Linked DNA regions of Oryctolagus cuniculus. The protein of the gene in region 1 interacts with the protein of each later gene in a biochemical or structural test. Links are inferred from orthologs where the notes say so. Each region holds a gene or a part of one and is shown on either strand. Other genes may lie near its edges. The genes, in order: NID1 and FBLN1.

Evidence for each region.
Region 2: the proteins of NID1 (region 1) and FBLN1 form a complex in vitro, tested with the Homo sapiens proteins (3 studies listed by BioGRID). The link is inferred for Oryctolagus cuniculus from reciprocal best matches to the Homo sapiens genes NID1 and FBLN1.

Annotation. Positions count from the first base shown.
Region 1 is NC_091444.1:55,266,647-55,276,202, forward strand, and holds the end of NID1 (nidogen-1), read right to left. Parts: intron 9,163-9,556; coding exon 9,005-9,162; intron 7,583-9,004; coding exon 7,459-7,582; intron 6,836-7,458; coding exon 6,723-6,835; intron 5,834-6,722; coding exon 5,712-5,833; 3' UTR 3,697-5,711; downstream 1-3,696. UniProt on the Homo sapiens protein: Sulfated glycoprotein widely distributed in basement membranes and tightly associated with laminin. Also binds to collagen IV and perlecan. It probably has a role in cell-extracellular matrix interactions.
Region 2 is NC_091442.1:120,185,583-120,195,403, reverse strand, and holds the start of FBLN1 (fibulin-1), read right to left. Parts: upstream 6,288-9,821; 5' UTR 5,705-6,287; coding exon 5,626-5,704; intron 1-5,625. UniProt on the Homo sapiens protein: Incorporated into fibronectin-containing matrix fibers. May play a role in cell adhesion and migration along protein fibers within the extracellular matrix (ECM).

The DNA.
Region 1 (9,556 bases):
CACCACTATCTATTTCTATAATCTTTTCACTACCCCAATTAAAAATTCTGTAACCTCTGAGAAATAACTCCCCATCCCCCCCTCCCATATCCTAAGCTCTAATTTACTTTGTCTCAATGAATTTGAGGTACAGCTACCTTAGGAGTGAAATCATGTCATATTTGTGTCTGGCTTACATCATGTAGCATGTCTTCAAAGTTCATCCCCTTTATGGTTGGATAACATTCTATTTTATAGATATACCACATTTCATTTTTTTATCCATTCATCTGTTGATAGACATTTGGGTTGTTTCTACCTTTTGGCTGGGGTAAGCAATCCTGCAAAGAATACTGGCACGTAAGTTTCAGCCCCTGCTTTTAATTCTTTTGGGTAGATGTGGGGAGCAACTGAGACTAGACTAAGTTACTGGAATTAAGACTTATTCTATGCATCTGCTCTCCCACAATATGGCGCTGAGAGAAAGAGACCAAACAACTTCTATGCAGCTGCCTCATCAGTTTGACAAGCTGCAGGAGCTGATCCTGCTCCTGATTGGAGGAGAGCAGCGTGCTCGGCGTGTGGTGGAAGAGGACTATAAAGGAGGAGAGAGACAACAAGCACCGGGGAACATCTGAAGGGACAGCTGAGCAGCCCCCGAGAGAGCCAGCCGACGGTGTGCCGCTTCTCCGCGGAAGCGGGGAAAGTGGCAGGGGGAGCCGTCCCTCCACGGGGGTGGAGGTGTCGGCAGCCAACCCGGGAAGGACCAGCAGCAAACCCGGGAAGGGCCGAGCAGACAAAAGAACAGCGCAGGGTCCTGTGTCATTCCTCCGTGAATAGGGGAGCGACAGGTAGATACCTAGGAGTAGAACTGCTGGAACATATGGCAATTCTATATTCAGTTTTTTGTGGAACCACTGAACTGTTTTCCACAGGGTCTGCCCCATTTTGCATTTCAAATAGCAATGAACAAGGGTTCCAATTTCTCCACATCCTCCTAAACACTTGTTTTTGATAATAGCCATTCGAAAGGGTGTGAAGTAATATCAAGTTGTGGTTTTGATTAGCATTTCTGTAATGACTAATGATATTGAGCATCTTTCTTATGCCTAAATGTCCATTTGTAATTCTCCTTTGGAAATACATTTATTCTAATCACTTATTTTTTTAAAAAAATTTATTTATTTACTTGAAAGGCAGAGTTACAGAGAGGCAGAGGTAGAGAGAGAGGTCTTCCATCCACTGCTTCATACCCAGATGGCCACAACAGCCAGAGCTGCGCTGATCCAAAGCCAGGAGCCAGAAGCTTCTTCTGGGTCTCACACGTGGGTGCAGGGGCCCAAGGACTTGGGCCATCCTCTACTGCTTTCCCAGGCCATGGCAAAGAGCTGGATTGGAAGTAGAGCAGCTGAGACTGGAACTGGCACCCATATAGGATGCCAGCATTGCAGGTGGCAGCTTACCACTTATGCCAGAGTGCCCACGCTTTACTTATTTTGGAATGGCTTGTTGTTAAGTGGCAGGAGGGAGTTCTTTGAATATTCTGGATGTCATAAGAGATGTAAGATTTGAAGGTATTTTCTCCAAATTGTTGTCTTTTTATTCTGTTGATAGTATCCTTTGATGCACAAATCTTTTTAAGTCCTATTTACCTATTTTTCTTCTATTGCTTGTGCTATTGGTATTATTCCCAAGAAATCATTGCTAAATCCAGTGTCATGAAGATTTTATTATGTGCTGGCCCATCAACGATCAAAAGCAGCAACTGGTAATCAGACCAATAAATCTGAGTTTTGGAGAACAAAGTCTGACTATCCACTCTGGCTCCAGCAAGGCACACCAGGAATGTGGCTGCCTGATGGGGCATAGTAGCCACTTATAAGAAAGAACTAAAATTGCCGGTGCCGCGGCTCAACAGGCTAATCCTCCACCTTGCAGCACTGGCACACCGGGTTCTAGTCCCGGTCGGGGCGCCGGATTCTGTCCTGGTTGCCCCTCTTCCAGGCCAGCTCTCTGCTGTGGCCTGGGAGTGCAGTGGAGGATGGCCCAAGTGCTTGGGCCCTGCACCCCATGGGAGACCAGGATAAGTACCTGGCTCCTGTCATCAGATCAGCGTGGTGCGCCGGCCGCACCGCGCCAGCCACGGTGGCCATTGGAGGGTGAACCAAGGGCAAAGGAAGACCTTTCTCTCTCTCTCTGTCCACTCTGTCAAAAAAAAAAAAAAAAAGTACTAAAATTGACTCAGGCTTACTAGCTTCTTCTAAGCTCTCTGCTGGTGCTGCAATGGGTCTGCTAAAACCAGACTTCCAAAATAGCTGGCTCAGTCAGCCCCTGTCAGTTCAATCGCTATTTGGATAAAGGGTTTGATTCTTGGCACTTCCTACTCCACCATCTTTCCTGATGTCATCTTTAGGTACCTAGATTTTTTTGACCAGAACTCTGGGAATTTTAGTCCCAATAAAAATTTTCCCTTCCACCCAACTCATACTGGCAGGCTGCATGCTGATTCTGTCAATTGCATCTTTCACGGGGAAGCCGAAGTACCAGTTTCCTTCTGTTACAACTGAGCTCTGGGCGCCTCGTTCCTACAACTTCAAGCTCCTTCCGCTCTGTCCAAGTCAGTTGCCATTCTCATCCCACTCATGGACTGGCATGGATGGTGATGCCTATCAATGGTCTCACTTGATGGTCAAAAGTGAGGAGGGGGATAAAATACATAGCTCATCTTTCTTTTTTCTTTCTTTATTTATTTATTTTTTTTTTTTTTTTTAATTTTTGACAGGCAGAGTGGACAGTGAGAGAGAGAGACAGAGAGAGAAAGGTCTTCCTTTGCCGTTGGTTCACCCTCCAATGGCCGCCGCTGCAGCCGGCGCACCGCGCTGATCCGATGGCAGGAGCCAGGATCCAGGTGCTTTTCCTGGTCTCCCATGGGGTGCAGGGCCCAAGCACCTGGGCCATCCTCCACTGCACTCCCTGGCCATAGCAGAGAGCTGGCCTGGAAGAGGGGCAACCAGGACAGAATCCGGCGCCCCAACCAGGACTAGAACCCGGTGTGCCGGCGCCGCAAGGCGGAGGATTAGCCTATTGAGCCACGGCGCCGGCTCCATAGCTCATCTTAAGAGCTGAATTTGGAACCTCTGTATTGCTTGTAACTAGAATACATTTTTCCAAAAAAAAAAAAAAATGAATGCAATGTCCAAAAGGGTGGTTTGGTATCTGTGACATCATTAATTTTAAGTCAATTACAATCCCGTAAATCTTTTGTAAACTTGTGTTCACAAAATATATCACCTGTTATAACAGTGGAGTAAGACTTTCTGAATCTTTAGGTTTTTGAAGCCTATTAAATGGCTTTTAAAAAAAGGATTTACTTACATATTTGAAACGAAGAGTTACAGAAAGAAGGATTTCCCATCAGCTGGTTCAATCCTGAAATGGCCACCCCAGCTGAAGTCAAGAGCTTGGAATTCCATCTGGGTTTTCTATGTGAGTGGCAGGGGTCCAAATAATTGGGCCATCTTCCATTGCTTTCCCAGGCACATTAGCAGGTAGATGGATCAGAGGTGGAGCAGCTGGGACTCAAACCAGCACCCATATGGGATGTTGGCACTGCAGGTGGCCTCTTAACCTACTGTGCCACAACACTGGACCCTGGCTGTATGTCTGCCATGAATTACCCTATCAACATCAAATCTCTTAACTCAAAAAAGATAAAGATTTTTTTAACAAAAGTTTTTTTTATTTCATGTACAAGTATTTGTATGGTGATAAACTCAAGGAATCATCAAATATTTGTATAAATCTGGGGCAACAGTTATTAAGCACCTTCAGAGGTTTCCACAGTTTAGGAATTTACCATTTAAAAACTTTTAGAATGAATCTAGTAAAGTGAATAAAATAGTTATAAAACTTATAAAATCATGATGAACATTTGATACAGAAGGCTTGATATGGAATGATAAATACAAGAAGAAAGAGTAATTTATGAGGTTGCACTATATAAAAGACTCAGATGTTCCCCAAAGCTTATGATTGTTGGGGACAAAATTGACTCTGAAGACAAACTCCAATCATTTAAGGAAACACTTTCTCCCAACTTAGTTTCCAATGTGCTGCACAAGCAAGTGAGGACAATGGTAGGAGGGTATGTAGGTGGAGGCATTGAGTACACTGGGATTTGAAGAAATGGGGAGGGATCTCTTGTCCAAGGAGAATTTCAGGAAAATTTTTTCTATGTTCTCAAGTATAAGTGTTCTTTGGCAAAATGTGTTATTTTCTCTGTGTAGTTATTTAAGGTTTTTTTTTAATTGCCATTCATAAATCCCCTCCCCTCACCCATTTCTCTTGGGCTTTCCATTCCTGCTCTTGGATAATCTCTTCATGACACTTTGAGTCTTCTGTACTCCCTTATCCCATCCTTTATTGACTCAAACACCTTATGCTCAACTTTCAGTCCAAAATTTCTATTGCTTTAGGACTCTGGGAAGCAGTTGACAAAAGACAACACTAGCTACTAATGGAAGAGGTTCTCTAAACAAATTGTAAAAACATAAATATGAAATGTAGCAGTGGTCCCTTTAATTAGACAAACGAGCAATAAAGAGTCTGGACCATTAAGATAATTATTCAATTTGCTCTTCCTATACTGTGTCTTTAGATGCACATTTAGCCACTAAAGTTCAAAGATGGAGAACAAAAGGATAAGCAGATTCATGGTTATTTATAAATTGGTTCTCTGGAGCAAAGACAAAAACTGATGAACTGGTTAAGTCATCACCTTGTACCAGCTCTAAACTGTGTCTGTCTCAGACCTCAGACAAATCTCCATGAGGAGAGTGGACTTCAGTGCTAGCAATGAAGGTGAAGACCAACACAGCACCAGAGACCACATGCTGGAATACAGGAGCTTTGGGAAAACAGGATGACTTTGGTAATCTCTGGTATAATTTAAGGCACATCAAAATAATTCCTCATCCTCAAACATCTGACTCTACACTTTGAAATTCCTATCATAGGATACTCCTTTGACTTAAGCCTTTGAGTATCAAAGGCTACTACTGAAATGCCAATACCTCATCTGGAAAAGGATGCTCATTATCATCCACAAAGTACCCATATATCCTCTAGGATGGGTAATTTCTCATCAAAAGGCAGAACATGGTCATTACAATGAGGGCCTTGGAATGAAGGTGATGAGGAACTAGGGAATAAAAAAATGGGAATATAAAGAGGGAAATCAGAGCACCAAGAGAAAAAGTAAGGGAGGGCTAACTCCCTCCTTCACTCACAACCTCACCTAGGCAGACCCAGGCTGGTGTGTTAAGCAGCTGATAGGATGGTAGGTACCTCAGAATGAGGCTGAGCTTTTAAGGCCACAAAGAGGGGGATGACTTAGGCCTTGGCTGGTTCTACTCACCACTGGGAGAGAGACTAGGTTTTGGGAAAGGTCCAGGGAACTGGGATGGGGTAGGTAATCATCACCCAGGCTTGTATAAGCTTATCTGGAGTTGGGCCAGGGTGGGAATTCTGTCCTCATACAGGGGGAGAAACTTTCCCATTAAAGAAGTGTATGTTGTGGGGAATAGTGGGGGGAAAGTTGTTGGGGCTCAGGCTGGGATGGGCCTGAACCTAGTGGTCACTCAGGCAGAGGACAGTTTTTCAGTCTGGACCAAGTAGATTCAAGTAGGATGCTCCTGTGAAATACTTGGAGAGGAAACACGGCAGTCTTGTCTTCATTTCCGCTCAATACAGTCCACTCCCATGGTGTTGTCAGGACAACGGCAGGTCCTGCTACCTGGAGTGGCCAAGCAGAGGTGAGTGCAGCCGCCGTTGTTCACAGAGCAGTAGTTGTGGCCTGCAAAAGGCAGAAATCAGTTCAACAGCCTTCTCTGACCTGACTCAACAGCCACTGAGAGACAGGACACCGTATTAACCTTACTTCATTTTCTGAGAGGCCAAAATTGTGGCCCATTCCAGGGGAACAGAGAACAGCTAAGCTAATCCGTTGTTTGTTAAACCAGACAGGCAAAAACGCTGATTCTCAATTTGGGGGCTATACAAACTTACCACTAAAGCTATAAAACAGATCTCAGGGAGGGTTCTCCAGCTCTCATTAGAACATGGAGGCAGACTCTTAAAGCATAGAGCACTTTCTATCTACTTACACTCCTGGTTTCACTCTAACGGGGAGAAGGAGAAAAGTAGAGAAGCGGAGAGGCCTTTGAGAGGCAGCATGGTATGGACTCTGGAGCCAGGCTGGCACCATGAGAGGTGCGACTTTGAACTTGTTTCCATTTCCTCATTTATAAAATGAGCACAGCAGTGCCCACCTCATAGGGCTGCTGTGAGGATGAAATGAACTACGAATACAAAGCGAGTTGATCTATGCCAACTTACTAGCTCTCAGTAAATGCCAAACATATACTTGAAATTATTTTTATTAGTTATTGTTATCACTGTTTGGCCAAATATATGGACTTTAAATCAGCAGAGATCTGAACATTAATGTTCCATTTGGAACCTGAAGACTGTATACTTCTAGACCCAGTCCAAGACTCAGTACTTTATCTCTGTCTACTTCAGGCCTGGGTGTGTTCTATGTATTCACCTGGCTCATGTACTCAGTAATGAAGATCCTTGAGAGACAGGATGGCTAGCAGTTATACCGGCAGCAGCCACAGCATGGACTCTATATCATCAGGTTGCCCCCAGGAGTATGGGGAGTAACAGTACAGGCGAGTTACCTTGGGGACACTGAGACAGGGCCGTGGTGATGCCATACAGCCGGGTCTGCTTGTGGGGGTGGAAGGAATCCGTCTCTTTGGAAACAGCCAGATCGACAGCCACCACAGAATTCCTACAGAGCACAAAAGTCAGGAGCTCAGAAGTACATCTGATGGTTTGAACCTTTCTCCAGGGAGTGACTTTTTTGCAGTTTTGGGTATAAACTGGAGGCCATAAGCAGATATGGTGGCCTTGCTCCTGAGACATCCCTCCCTCCTGGGGTGCATCAGGCCTGCATTTCTCTGGCTTCCTAAAGAAAGGTGATGGTCAGCCAGCTGTCTCCTCCCTCTCTAAATTCCAGGCAGGAAACGGGCTTTCTCTTCAGAGCCCTTGGCCAGCTGCCTCCTCAGTTTCACCCCTCCTTTTGCAGAAAGGGTGGTCAACAAGGGGCTGTGGGAACATTGCGGTTTAAGAACCATAAACAGGCATGAGTGGACATGGGGGGAAGGGACAGACGTGCTCAGGAAGTCCAAGTTCACAGACTTGAAACTGCCCTGCCAGGAGCATCCAGATGACAAGGGGCACCTCCTGCTTCCCTTCTCCTCCACCCCCACCTGCATCCTGACAGCCCAAGGGTGAGGAAGAAAGGACATCTCTTCGTGTCAAGGTCAAGACAAGGGGCCAGAGGAAAGGGCCTGGCTTCCCAGAGACAGAGTGGAGTACAGGCCCGCCCAGCCTCAGCAGCAGCCAACTTACGTCTTCCAGTCTGTGTAGAACAGATTCTTCCCGTAGCTCGTCACAGCAAAAGGATACTGGAGCCCTTCGAGGACCTTGCGTCTGCTTGGCTGACTGGGGTGCAGGCACTCTGCCCGGTTGGTGCCTGTGTGCAGCAAAGACAAGTCCCTCATTGTTCGCACCAGAAGTGGGCCCTTTGTGTCACAACTGGAGGGTGCCAGGGGCAGAGGCGGGAGAAATTTGGTATTACAGTGACAAATCCTAGAGAATACATGCAGCCTGGTCTTAAAACTGGAGAGCTGTCTCTCGCTCCTGTGCCTTGCCCCTTTCAACGATCGATACCCACTGCCACTCTGGCTCCCACACCTGCTTCTGCTGGGGAGTCGGGGGCTGGGGCAGAGAAAATGCAACTCAGGTCAGCTGGTCTGGAAGCAGCTGGTGCCTAGGTCTGCTCCTACCCCCAGGCTCCTTTCTCTCGGGAGGAAATACATCATCTTCCAGCTCTTGTCCAAGTTCCTCCTTCCTGAAGCTTCTCCAGCCCCTCCTGCTCTATGAATTCAGAGCCTTTAAGGATTGCTAACCCACAGCACTGGTGAGCAGCTGCACCCGGCTTCCATCAAAGGCCTGCATGATGACTGCATCTTAAGGCCCGTGATTTCACTGAAGTGCTCATGCCTCACTCTGTCCTAACAGGATGGGGACTGTGCCTCACAGCCTCTGCATCCCACGTGGCACCTGACAGAGTGTCTGGAACAGATATTACTCAATAGAGACTCCTACGGAGAGAGAAGATAGATGTTCCTCCCTGACTGAGCATTCTGCCCACATCCCTGGCCTGAGGGACACCCCACAGTTGCCAGGGAAGGGGCATACAGCAGGGACTGCTTGTGGGTGCTCTTACTTTATCTTTCTTGGCTCCAAGTCCTGCCTAAGCTTCTGGGGGACAGAGAGAGCTATGAAAAATGTAAGCTGTGAATTGCTTAACAGATATCAGGATGTCTACAGGTCTGTGTGGTACCACTTAGAACAGGAGTCAGACAGCTTTGGCTGTGAGGCAAAACCAGGAACAGTAGGCAGGTATTTATACAACAACTTAAAATGTAACATTTTGGGGCTGGCACTGTGGTGTAGCAGGTGAAGCTGCTGCCTGCAGTACTGGCACCCTATATGGGTGCCGGTTTGAGACCCGGCTGCTCCACTTCCAATCCAGCTCTCTGCTATGGCCTGGGAAAGCAGCAGAAGATGGCCTGACTACTTGGGCCCCTGCATCCACATGGGAAGACCCAGAGGAGGCTCCTGGGTTCGGATTTGCACAGCTCCAGCCGTTGTGACCCATTGGGGAGTGAACCAGTGGATGGAAGACCTCTCTCCTTCTCCCTCTGTGGAACTCTGACTTTCAAATAAATAAATAAATTTTTTAAAAACAAATAAAACAAAATGTAACATTTTGAAATGCAAAACCCATAAAACTTCTGGGTTACATGACAGTAAGTGGCAGGTTAGATTTGGCCAAGGCTGTAGTCTGCCAAAGATGGAGAACTCTCCCTGGACAGGGGAAAGCCATCACCTGCATCCACCCAGCAGAGCTGAGATGAGAACGCGTCAAAGGTCAGCCCGTTGGGCAAGCCCAGGTCATCCTGCACAAGAATCCTGCGGTTGGTGCCGTCCATGTAGGAAGTCTCGATTTTGGGGTTGTCTCTGTTCCAGTCTGTCCAATAAAGGTTCCTGGAGGACGAAAAGAAGGGGAAAGAGGAAGAGAAATAAGAAAGACCTATGAGAAAAAGTTTATGAAACAACTCTTTTCCAAAGAGATGAGCAGATGTGAAAACAGAATGGAGGGGGCTGGTGCTGTGGCATAGTGGGTAAAGCCACCACCTGCGGTGCCAGCATCTCATATGGGTACTGGTTTGAGTCCCGGCTGCTCTACTTCCAATCCAGCTCTCTGCTGTGGCCTGGGAAAGCAGTAGAAGATGGCCCAAGTCCTTGGGCCCCTTCACCCAGGTGGGAGACCCAGAAAAAACTCCTGGCTCCTGGCGTGGGATTGGTGCAGCTCCTGCCATTGTGGCCATTTTGGGAATGAACCAGAGGATAGAAGACCTCTATCTCTCTGCCTCTCTGT
Region 2 (9,821 bases), on another chromosome or scaffold:
CAGCCCTCACACAGGTCGTGGCGTGGACAGCGGTGAGATGCCCCGCAGGTACAGTCAGCGGGGTTTATCCAGGACACCCTGCAACTCCACATCCTGGCCCAGAGGCCACAGGATGTCAGGGAAGCCATGCCCATCCTCCAGGTGCCGACTACGAATGCTTAGGGAATTCAACCCACAGCTGGAAAGGAACCCGCCCAAGCCCCCACCCAGGCCCACCCAGCACCCCTGGCACTGGCCTGCAGGTGCTGTTAAGAAAGTGGGGCCTCTCTCGCCTCTGCTTCTTTGTAACTCTGCCTTTCAAATAAATCTAATTAAAAGGGGGGGCAGGTGGTGCTATGACATAGTGGATAAAGCTGCCACCTGCAGAGCTGGCATCCTATATGGGCGCTGGTTCGAGTCCCGGCTGCTCCACTTCCCGGCAGTGGAAGATGGCCCAAGTCCTTCCACCCACGTGGAAGACCTGGAAGAAGCTCCTGGCTTCAGATGGGCTCAGCTCCGGCCATTGTGGCCATCTGGGGAGTGAACCAGCGGATGGAAGACCTCTCTCTTTCTGCCTCTGCCTCTCTGCCTTTCAAATAAATAAATAAATCTGCAAAAAAAAAAAAAAAAAGAGAGGAAGAAAGTGGGGTCCAGGGCTGATCTGTTTTGGGAAGAAACCGCAATCACCCACGTCGGTCTGTGGCACAATCCACAAGCATAAAACTCGGCACAAACCCGAGGCCACACTCAGGCAGACGGCCCGGCCTCGAGCCTGGCTCCGGCTCGGCGCCCACGGGACTTCTCCGAGCCTCCCTCTGTCTCCACCTGCACAGTGCAGGTGCTAACAGTGCCTGCCGCGGGGCTGGGAAGACGAATGAGGTCAGCCAGGGAAAATGCTGGAATCAGCAGAGAAAAACGGAATCTTCAAAATCGGAGAAGTCCTCACGTCAGGGCCAGGGCATTCCTTCCCGCAGAGTCAGCGCACCTGATGTGATGCGCGCGGCCCACAGCCCCCACCCCCCTCCTGGAAAGAAACACCCCCACCCCGCCCAGGACCCATGGACGGTGAGGCCTGAAGGGCAGCTCCTCACCAGCCACAGAGCCGGACAGGAAACGCCAATGAGACGGGACTGGGCAAGACTCAGGCCGCCCTACCCGGGCCTGGGAAGCCAGAAGGGGCCCAGCGTGGTCGTCCCAGTGCCTCTGCATCCGTGCAGGCCCAGGAGGTGAACGGACCCCCGCTCCACGCCGCCCCCAGCCTGCCAGCCTCCCCAGGAGCTCACACGCCCCCAGGCACCAGTCCTGAGAGCGCTCCCAGCGTCCATCACAGAGACGGGGGTCTGGGGGTCTGGCGCAGAGGGAGGCACTAGGCACGTCTGGGGGGAGGGGGGAAGCATCTGGCTCCCCCCCAGGCAGTGCACTCACAGGCTGCCCTCACCCTGACACCTCTGCAGCTTCCCTCTGGCCACTGCACCTGCACCCTCCATGCCTGGCCTTCGATGACAGCGCTGGGCAGGCCAGGTAGTCCCTGGCCAGCTCCTGTCCTCAGACCACCACACCGGTGCAAAGCTCGCCTTCTCCAAGAGGTCCTCCCTGACCACCCCCCAACACACACACACACACACACACACACACACACACACGACAGAGCCGATTCCTTTGTTCCCTGAATTGCACACAAATAATTAACTCTAGTTGGCGCCACGAGGGCTGGGATGGGCTCTGTCTCCTGCACCCTGCCCATGTCTGCCCCTGAGCCGTCGATCACTGTGTGTGAATGAATGAATGAGCAAATGAAATCGTGTGCTCAATTAGGGGCAGACAGCAGCAGCAACTCCCCAGAGGCCACAGCACCAAACCAGAGGAGCTTCAGATCCAACCCTGGCTTAAGAGTTCACACCCCTGCCTGTTATTAAACTCCAGAGGGGCTGGTGTTGTGGCTTAGTGGGTAAAGCCACCACCTGCAGTGCCGGCATCCCCTATGGGTGCCGGTTCAAGTCCTGGCTGCTCCTCTTCCAATCCAGCTCTCTGCTATGGCCTGGGAAAACAGTAGAAGATGGCCCAAGTCCCTGGGCCCCTGCACCGGCATGGGAGACCCGGAAGAAGCTCCTGGCTCCTGGCTTCAGATCGGCTCAGCTCCAGCTGTTGTGGGGAGTGATCCAGTGGTTCGGTAAGACCTCTGTCTCTCTGCCTCTGCCTCTGTACAACTCGGCCTTTCAAATAAATAAATAAATCTTTAAATATATACAGGTAAGGGCAGTGCCTCCCTCCAGGGTTGCCTTCAGGGCGCAGGGAGGCAGCACAGGTGGGGCGCAGGTGCAAAGCGACAGGTGCGGGGTTTCCGCTCCCACCCCAGTAGCTCACAGGAGCAGCACCCAGTGCATCCGGAGGGAAGCCACAGGCCACAGCCAGTAGCCACTGGGTAGCAAAGTGCACATCTAGTCTCACTCCAGCCGGGGACGAGACCCAAAAGGAAAAGTACTGGACCTCTGAGGTAGCAGGGCTGTGGGGAGGATCCATTGGAGACTAAACGTGAAGCAGTCCAGCTAGGAGAGTCGCCCAGAGCAAAGCCGCCCTCAACTCACACAAAGGAAATGGACGCAGAGGGTCACGGGAGCCGGGCAAAGAGCTTCCAGAGCTGGCACCGGGGCACCGGTCTCCTAAACAGCCCCACCGAATGCCGGTCCCCACAAAGCAGGACCCTCCAGCGCGCAGCTGGAGCAGCAGGTACCCCACCCTCCTGACCCACCCTGGAGTTAGAACCCAAGGATTAAGGGCGGGTGGGGGCGGCCAGCCCTATCCGCTCCCGGATGTGGCGGACTTGGGGCAGACGACCTCAGCAGGCTCCCAGCCTCTGATCCCAGGCCAGTCCACAACAGGCTCCTGTCCTCCTCCTCCACCCCGGATCTGCTGTGTGGCCACATCTGAAATCATCGCCTAGAAACTGGCGCCATCCGGGGACTGCAAGAGCATCTATTAATCAAATTGCTACAGTTTTATATTTTGCAAAAGGAAAGCCTTTTATTGTACAAAATCCACTGGCAAAACTCTGAGGTGTCTGTTAGAGCTGTTTTCATAACACTTGACCTGTAACGCTGCCCTGCCCACCGTGCCCACGGCTAAGAGGCTGGCCTTCGGGGAGTACCGGGCGGGCAGGGGTCTTTCCCAGCCGTGGGGAGGGGCTACGCCTCCTGGAGTCCCTGCCCATGCCTCTCCTCCTTGAGGCCCCGGGGTGCATCTACCTCCTCCAGGAAGTCCTTCCAGACTCTGCCAGGAGGGCTGGGCTCCTTTTTCTGGTTCATCTGGGAGCCCGAGCGGCACGGGGTGGCAGAGCTGGGTCTCCCCAAGACCCAGAGCCGACGCTGAGCAAACCAATGACCGAAGGCCCAAAGACACCACTCAGCAGGACCGGGTGGCAGGACCGGTGCCAACCCGAGACTGGCACTCGGAAGCTGCTGGCTCTGCGGTCTCCTTCCCAGGAAGCGTCCGGCTGGGGAAGCCCAGTATTGGGATTTGCAGCTGAGTCCGGGACGCTGGCTCTGTCCCGGCCCTGGGAGAGGGGACCCTGTGCACGCAGCAGACAGCTCCAGCTCCGAGCGCTCTCCCTCCGTCCTACCGGGAGGTGTGGCCGCCCCCACCAGGCCATGGAGAAAACCACCAGACCACTGTGGATGAGGCTGGCGCACCCACTCATGGCACCCTGCTGGGACCTGAGCCTGAGCTGCCCCCTCATCCCCAGCTCCCTCCCACCAGTCCTTGGGGGAGGCAAAGGCAGCTGTGCTGGGGGAGGGGGCCATCAGCCCTGGGCCCAGCAGGGGAGCCCTCCCTGGTGCCCCCCAGTCTGGTCCTTCAAGCGTTCAGAGCTCTGGGCCCCACCTCCCAGCTGGGAACCTTCCAGAAGGGCAGCGGCCCAGGCCACATGTTTGTAAGCCAAGTTCTCTCTAGCCTTTGTTCTCCCTCCCGGCGCGACTTTTCTTTTAATCAGTCGAAACCAGAGGCCAAGAAAGTCTTGGAGAAAACACACTCGTCCGCCCGACCCCTGCTCCTCCCCGCCCCCGCCTCCCGCCCCAGCTCTGGGTAAAGCCCAACAGGGCAGACAGACAGAGGACAGACAGGCGGCTCCGCCGTGCCCCGCGGCCCGCCAGTGGCCAGGTGGCCCTCGCCAAGGGCCTGTCAGCACAGTGGCTCCGGCGCTCTCCATCGGCTCGCCTTCACGGCTGCGGTCAAAGTGTGGTTTCCCTGTGTACCCCGCAGCTCTCCAGGGTGCAGGGCTGTGCCACCTACGACCCTGCAGGGCTGCAGGGGCCTTGGCTGCCAGGCGCCCGGCCCGGCCTGCAGCAGCGGAGAGCAGCCAGGCTGTCTTTTAACCCCCTCTCCCCAGACCAGACCGCGCAAACAAACTCCAAGAGGGTGCTCCCCAAACACAGGACCATGGGACCACCCAGACTTCATGGAGGACACTTTGTATGCCCTTACGGTGCTCCTTCAAAGCACAGGGACAAAGTTATCAGGCACAAAAGAATGTGGGGGAGGGGAGGGGCTTGGGGTCTCCAAGTCCCCTGAGAGTTGAACTCAGCCTTCTCTCTGGACGCCCCCTTCCTCTCCGGGTGCCCCCCACTCCCAAGCCCCTTTGGGAGGTCTCTCCTGCCGGACCACCTGCAGGCCTGCCCAAGAGGCCTCCTGGGAGCCCTGTGCCTCCCCAAGCCACCTCCAAGCTGGAGAAGTGGCCCAGGACACAGCCAGCGCCCAGAACAGCTATCAGCCCCAGAGGCCGCCGCCACAGCCCAGCCCCCTCCTCAGCCGCGACCTTCCGACCAAGGAGGCCTGTGAACACTAGCGACTTCAAAAGAAACTAAACAAGGCATAAAGAAGCTGCCCTGGCCCTGGGGAGAAACAAACACTCCAGCAGGGCCAGGCCTGACTGCCGGCCCCAGGAAGCCATGGGGTCAGCAGAGAGGTCGCAGGTCATGGCTCCCCCGCCCCCCAAGCGGCTCTGATCCACCGGACCTCTGAACCCAGGAGCCAGAAGGGCGCAGCCTGGGTGGCCACCAACCCCATGCTGTCAGCCTGGGGGGCTGGGGAGGGAATTCTGGGCCGGGACCTGCTGCAGGGGGCTCCATCCCCCCCTTGTCACACAGTGGGTAGGTCTGGAAGCCGCCTAAGCCAAGTCCTAGCGAAGCGTGGGGCCTGGTGGGCAGGAGGGCAGGCAGAGAGGAGGGCCCGGGTCTGCAGCCTCCCCCAACCCCCTTACCCGACGGCTCCCCACCGGGGTCCGTTCCCCATTCGCAAGCTGGGGCACTGAAAGACACACTAAGGAGGCTCCCAGTGCAAGGCGGGGGGCTCGGTAACCCGCAGCCAGCGCCCCCATCGCCAAGGCCCGGGAAGGGCCCTCGGAGCCGGCTCCATCTGCGGGGGCTGAGGCCGGAGCGCGGGCGTGGGAGGGGTCCCGCCTTGGAAGCAACCCCCCCAGACAGGCCGGCATTCGGGCTGGGCCGGGAGTTGGGGGAGGCCCGGAGACGTCGCCCGGGTCTGGGCAGCCCCGCTGCTCAGGGGACCGCACGACGACGGTCCCGGGGAGCGCACCGGCCCGACCCCGGCCTCTCCACGACTACCCCCCGGCGCGGGGCGGTGGCGGGGACGCCCTACCTCGGGCCGCCAGCAGCGAGAGGCCGCCGAGCAGCAGCAGCGGCAGCGGGAGCCGGCGCGACGGCGCGGCGCGCTCCATGGGGCCGGCAGGGACAAAGGCGCGGGCGGCTCCTGGCTCGGCGGGCGCGGCGTGCGGCGCGCGCTCCACGCTCGGGCCGAGGCTCGGCAGCCAACGCCGGGCCCGGGCGCGCCGTTCAATTATCCCGCCCGGGAGGAGGGCGCGGCGGAGGCGGGGCCGGCGGGACCCTCCCCTCTCCCGCTCCGGGCCCCGGGCTTCCCTGGAGGGGCAGAGACGGGGGCGCCTTCGGGCCGGATGCGCCTCCACCCGCCCCCCTCCGCGCGCGTGAAACCCGATCCCCTCGGCCCCCGCGGGCCGGGCGCGGGCTCGGGATCGGACTCGGCGCCTTTGGAGCGCGGCCGAGGGTGCAGCCCGCTCGGGGCTCCCGCGGACGAGCCCCGCACCCCACCCCTTCTGCTCCGTTCCGGCCTTCGCCGCCGGCCCCGGGGTCTGGGGCGCTGCCAGCCGGCCAGGCGGCAGAATGAGCCGGGCACGCTTGGACCCGGGAAGCCGAGGAGGCAGCCTTGGCTGGGCCTGCAGCACCCGCTTCGTGCTGGAATCGGGGCTGCAGCTGGGCCGGGGTGACTGAGGGTGGGCTGGTCTGTTGGGATCACAAGCAGATTTATTTTTTCAAATGGGGGTGGGGTGGGGGAGGCGGGCCCTGGGGCAGGTGAAGGTGGGAGCGAGGGGTGAGACCACAGCCACTTCGTGGACTGGGTCCCAGGAGCCAGCACCTCCCCTCACGGGTTTCTGCCTAGCAGAAGTGCACGGCTTTGGTTACAGCCGACATCCACCAAGGCTTCCCGGCAGAGTGCGCACACGTGTGGAGCCCCGTGACCCCTGGAGCAGGCGCCGTCCCGGGCCAGCCACCAGGGCATTGGCTGCAGGATCCCCTTCCATATGGGACAGGAACAGGTCAGAGGGCGGGAGAGGGTGCTCCTGGGGTGGCCCCCGGGGCTGGAGGGAGGCTGAGGGCACTTTCCGGTGATTTCACTGGGGCGTGGTTCCGAGGTCGGGTGCACCGAGCTGTTTCCGTGTGCTCTTTCCCAAGTGAGCGTTGGGTTCCAATCAAAACCCACATCTCTTCCACACAGGGTGCCTCGGAGGTCTGAGGTTTGCCGGGAGCCCAGGACAGCTTGTGAGAGAGGCCTCTGGGACTGGCCCTTGTGGGGAAAGGGGTGGAAAGGGGTGAAGGGCCCAGGGATCGGCCCCTGCAGAGGCTCAGAGGCCCCAGGCAGCTCAGGAAGACGAGCCGTGCGTCCTGAGCAGGGGTGGCCTGGGGTACCTGGGCGCACACAGCCCGTGCTGTGGGGAGCCAGGGCCCTGGGCTGCACAGAGTGGAAATGCGTTAGTACTTTGGGGTCTTAACTTGGTATGAGGGGAGGGGGAGGTGACTGAGAAAGAAGACAGGAGGAGATCCAGAGACGGATAACCCAGAGGGGTCCAATGACTGCCCGGCGCTGCCCAGGTGACCCCCTGGCCACGAGGCCACGCCTGCCAGGGGCCATGGGGGCTGCAGCAGGTGACACTGGTCATCTGCAGGGTCCCTTTGTGAGGCTGGGGAGGGAGCATCCGCCGTGGGTAGCTGAGAAGACATCGGGGGAAGGAAACGGAGTAGCTGAGGTGCCTGCCACTCATGCCTGCATTTGAGTGCGAAGATGGCACCAGCACAGCCCTGGGGACTGACTCCCCGCGCGCCAGCCTGCAGCTGAGAAGGGCGGGACCCAGCCACTGGTCCCGCACTCACCACCCACAGCCCCACCAGATGTCCCTGTCCCTCGGCCACCAAGGGTCGGGAACACGGGCACCCATGGGCACATCTGAGAGAGTGGGGAAGAGTCAGACTCTGAGGTCGAGCCCACCCACCTGGTTCCCGTCCAGGCTGTGCCACTTCCTGCTGTGTGGCCGGTTGGCATCCTCTAAGGTGGCCAGCGATGGGGCCTCTGTGACTGTGAGAATCCAAGATGACTCCTGTGGAGGGGTCACCACCCACTGACCTCGCTGGCAGCCGCTGGGGCTGGTGGAGGTAAAAGCGGGGCACCCTCAGGGCCGGAGGAGGGGAGCAGCCCTGGCCCCGCCTTGCTCTGTAGGACGAATCTTTGTGGCCTCAGTTTCCCTGTCTGCACAATGAACGGGGTGCCCGGATACCTCCCCAGACCCCGGCCCGGCTCATTCGAGGCCTCCTTCCCCCAGGCACACTCGGAGTTACGGGAAAGTCAGGAACCTGAGGCTCTTCCCACCGAGCTACACCCAGAGGCGACCACCCTGGGCGCTGGACGTCAGCGCCCTGTCCGTCCTTCCTGCCTGTGCTTAGACGGAAGCCTCGGGGGCTGGGGGCTGTGACGTGGCTGCTGTGACACTGGCGTCCCCTATCTGAGTGCTGGTTGAGTCGTGGCCGTGCTGCTGCAGGTCCAGCTCCCTGCTAACGTGCCTCGGAAGGCAGTGGATGCTGGCCCAAGAACTTGGGCCCCTGACACCCCCATAGGAGGCCAGGATGGAGTTCCTGGCTCCTGGCTTTGGCCTGGCCCAACTATGGAGAATGAATCAGCAGATAGAAGATCCCCTCCCCCCCGTCTCCTCCCTGCCTTCCCATCTCTGTCGCCCTGACTTTCAAATGAGTAAATAAATCTTAAAAACAAAACGAAGCAATGAAAGTCCTGGGTAATGCAGCCCCTCGCGTGTGTAGACACCCTCATGTGTCCTGTCCCCCGCTCCGGGGGCTCTTGGGAGACAGGGGCACCTGGTGCTGGTGTCCAGGAGTAACCAAGTGCCAGGTCCCTGACCCAGGAGCCTCAGCGCTGGAGATTGGCAGCCTGGCCACCGGGTTTCCCACCCTGGCTCGTCCCTGGGCCGCTTGTGTGGAAGGGTCTGTTTCTCTGGACGTCACAGGCAGCTCTTTGTCCGGTGAGGACCTGAGGTCGCACACACATGCGTGGACGCACGGCCACTCGGCTACCCTCCCCTGCTGGGACATTGTTTGACTTTGGCACAGGCATAAATCACGCATGCTCCCAGCTCGCCCGAATCTGCTCTTCTGGCCCCGAAGCCGTGCAGGAGCCCTGGCGGCACCCAGAGGATGGCGAATGTGCAGCCGCCCCGATGCATCCTTGGCGGCCCGGGCCCTTCCGCCACTGTCCGCTTTCCCAGTGTGTTCTCAGCAGTGGCGGAACGTTCTATGTACGCATGTTAGCCACGCTGTGCCTCTTTCGTAACTTCTCATTTATTTTTGCAACAGCAGAATTATTTACGACAGTGAAAATCTGGGAAAAGTGCGGTGTCCGACAGCAGCCCATTTACAGTCTGTGCCATTGGCTTCCATTAAACTGGTATTCAGTGACCTGATGGAGAGTATGTCCCTATCGAAAAGGCAGAGAAGAAGGGCCGGCACTGTGGTGCGGTAGGCTAAGCCTCTGTCTGCAGCGCTGGCTGGCTCTAGTCCCGGCTGCTCCACTTCCGATCCAGCTCTCTGCCACCGTCTGGGAAAGCAGTGGAAGAGGGTCCAAGTACCTGGGCCCCTGCACCCACACGGGAGACCCAGAAGAAGCTCCTGGCTCCTGGCTTTGGCCTGGCTCAGCCCAGGCTGTTGTGGGCATTTGAGGCGTGAACCAGCAGATGGAAGATTCTCTCTGTCTCTCCTTCTCTCTGTCTGTAACTTTGCCTCTCAAATAAATCTTCAAAAAAAAAAAAAAAAGGCAAAAAGAATACCTAAGTAGAAACATGGTATTTATGAGCTAATATTATGTAATATTATGAAAAAAAAAAAAAAACAGAAAAAGTCGAGTGTGAGCAGAATGCAGCTACGTAAAAGCTGTGTTTGTGGAGCGAAAGAGCGAAAGGAAACTAAACGAAACTGGACGCTTGACTGTGAAAATTTGGTTTTTTTTTTAGGGAAAGATTGAGACAGGAGAAATCAGAGTGTGAGAAACCTGGCAGGACGTGGTCCCCGCAGCTGAACTGGACCCCGGGTTCTTGGCAACCAAAGCCAAAGTCAGATTATGATCACGTGTGTGGTTCCTGTTTCTTGACCCCCTGGACAGGGCACCGTCGCATCAGGGGAGAGACAAGGTGGTTTCCAGCAGTGCGTCCCGATCGTTTTCCTCTGGGTCCTCATGGAAGAATCTAGACGCTTACTGAGCAG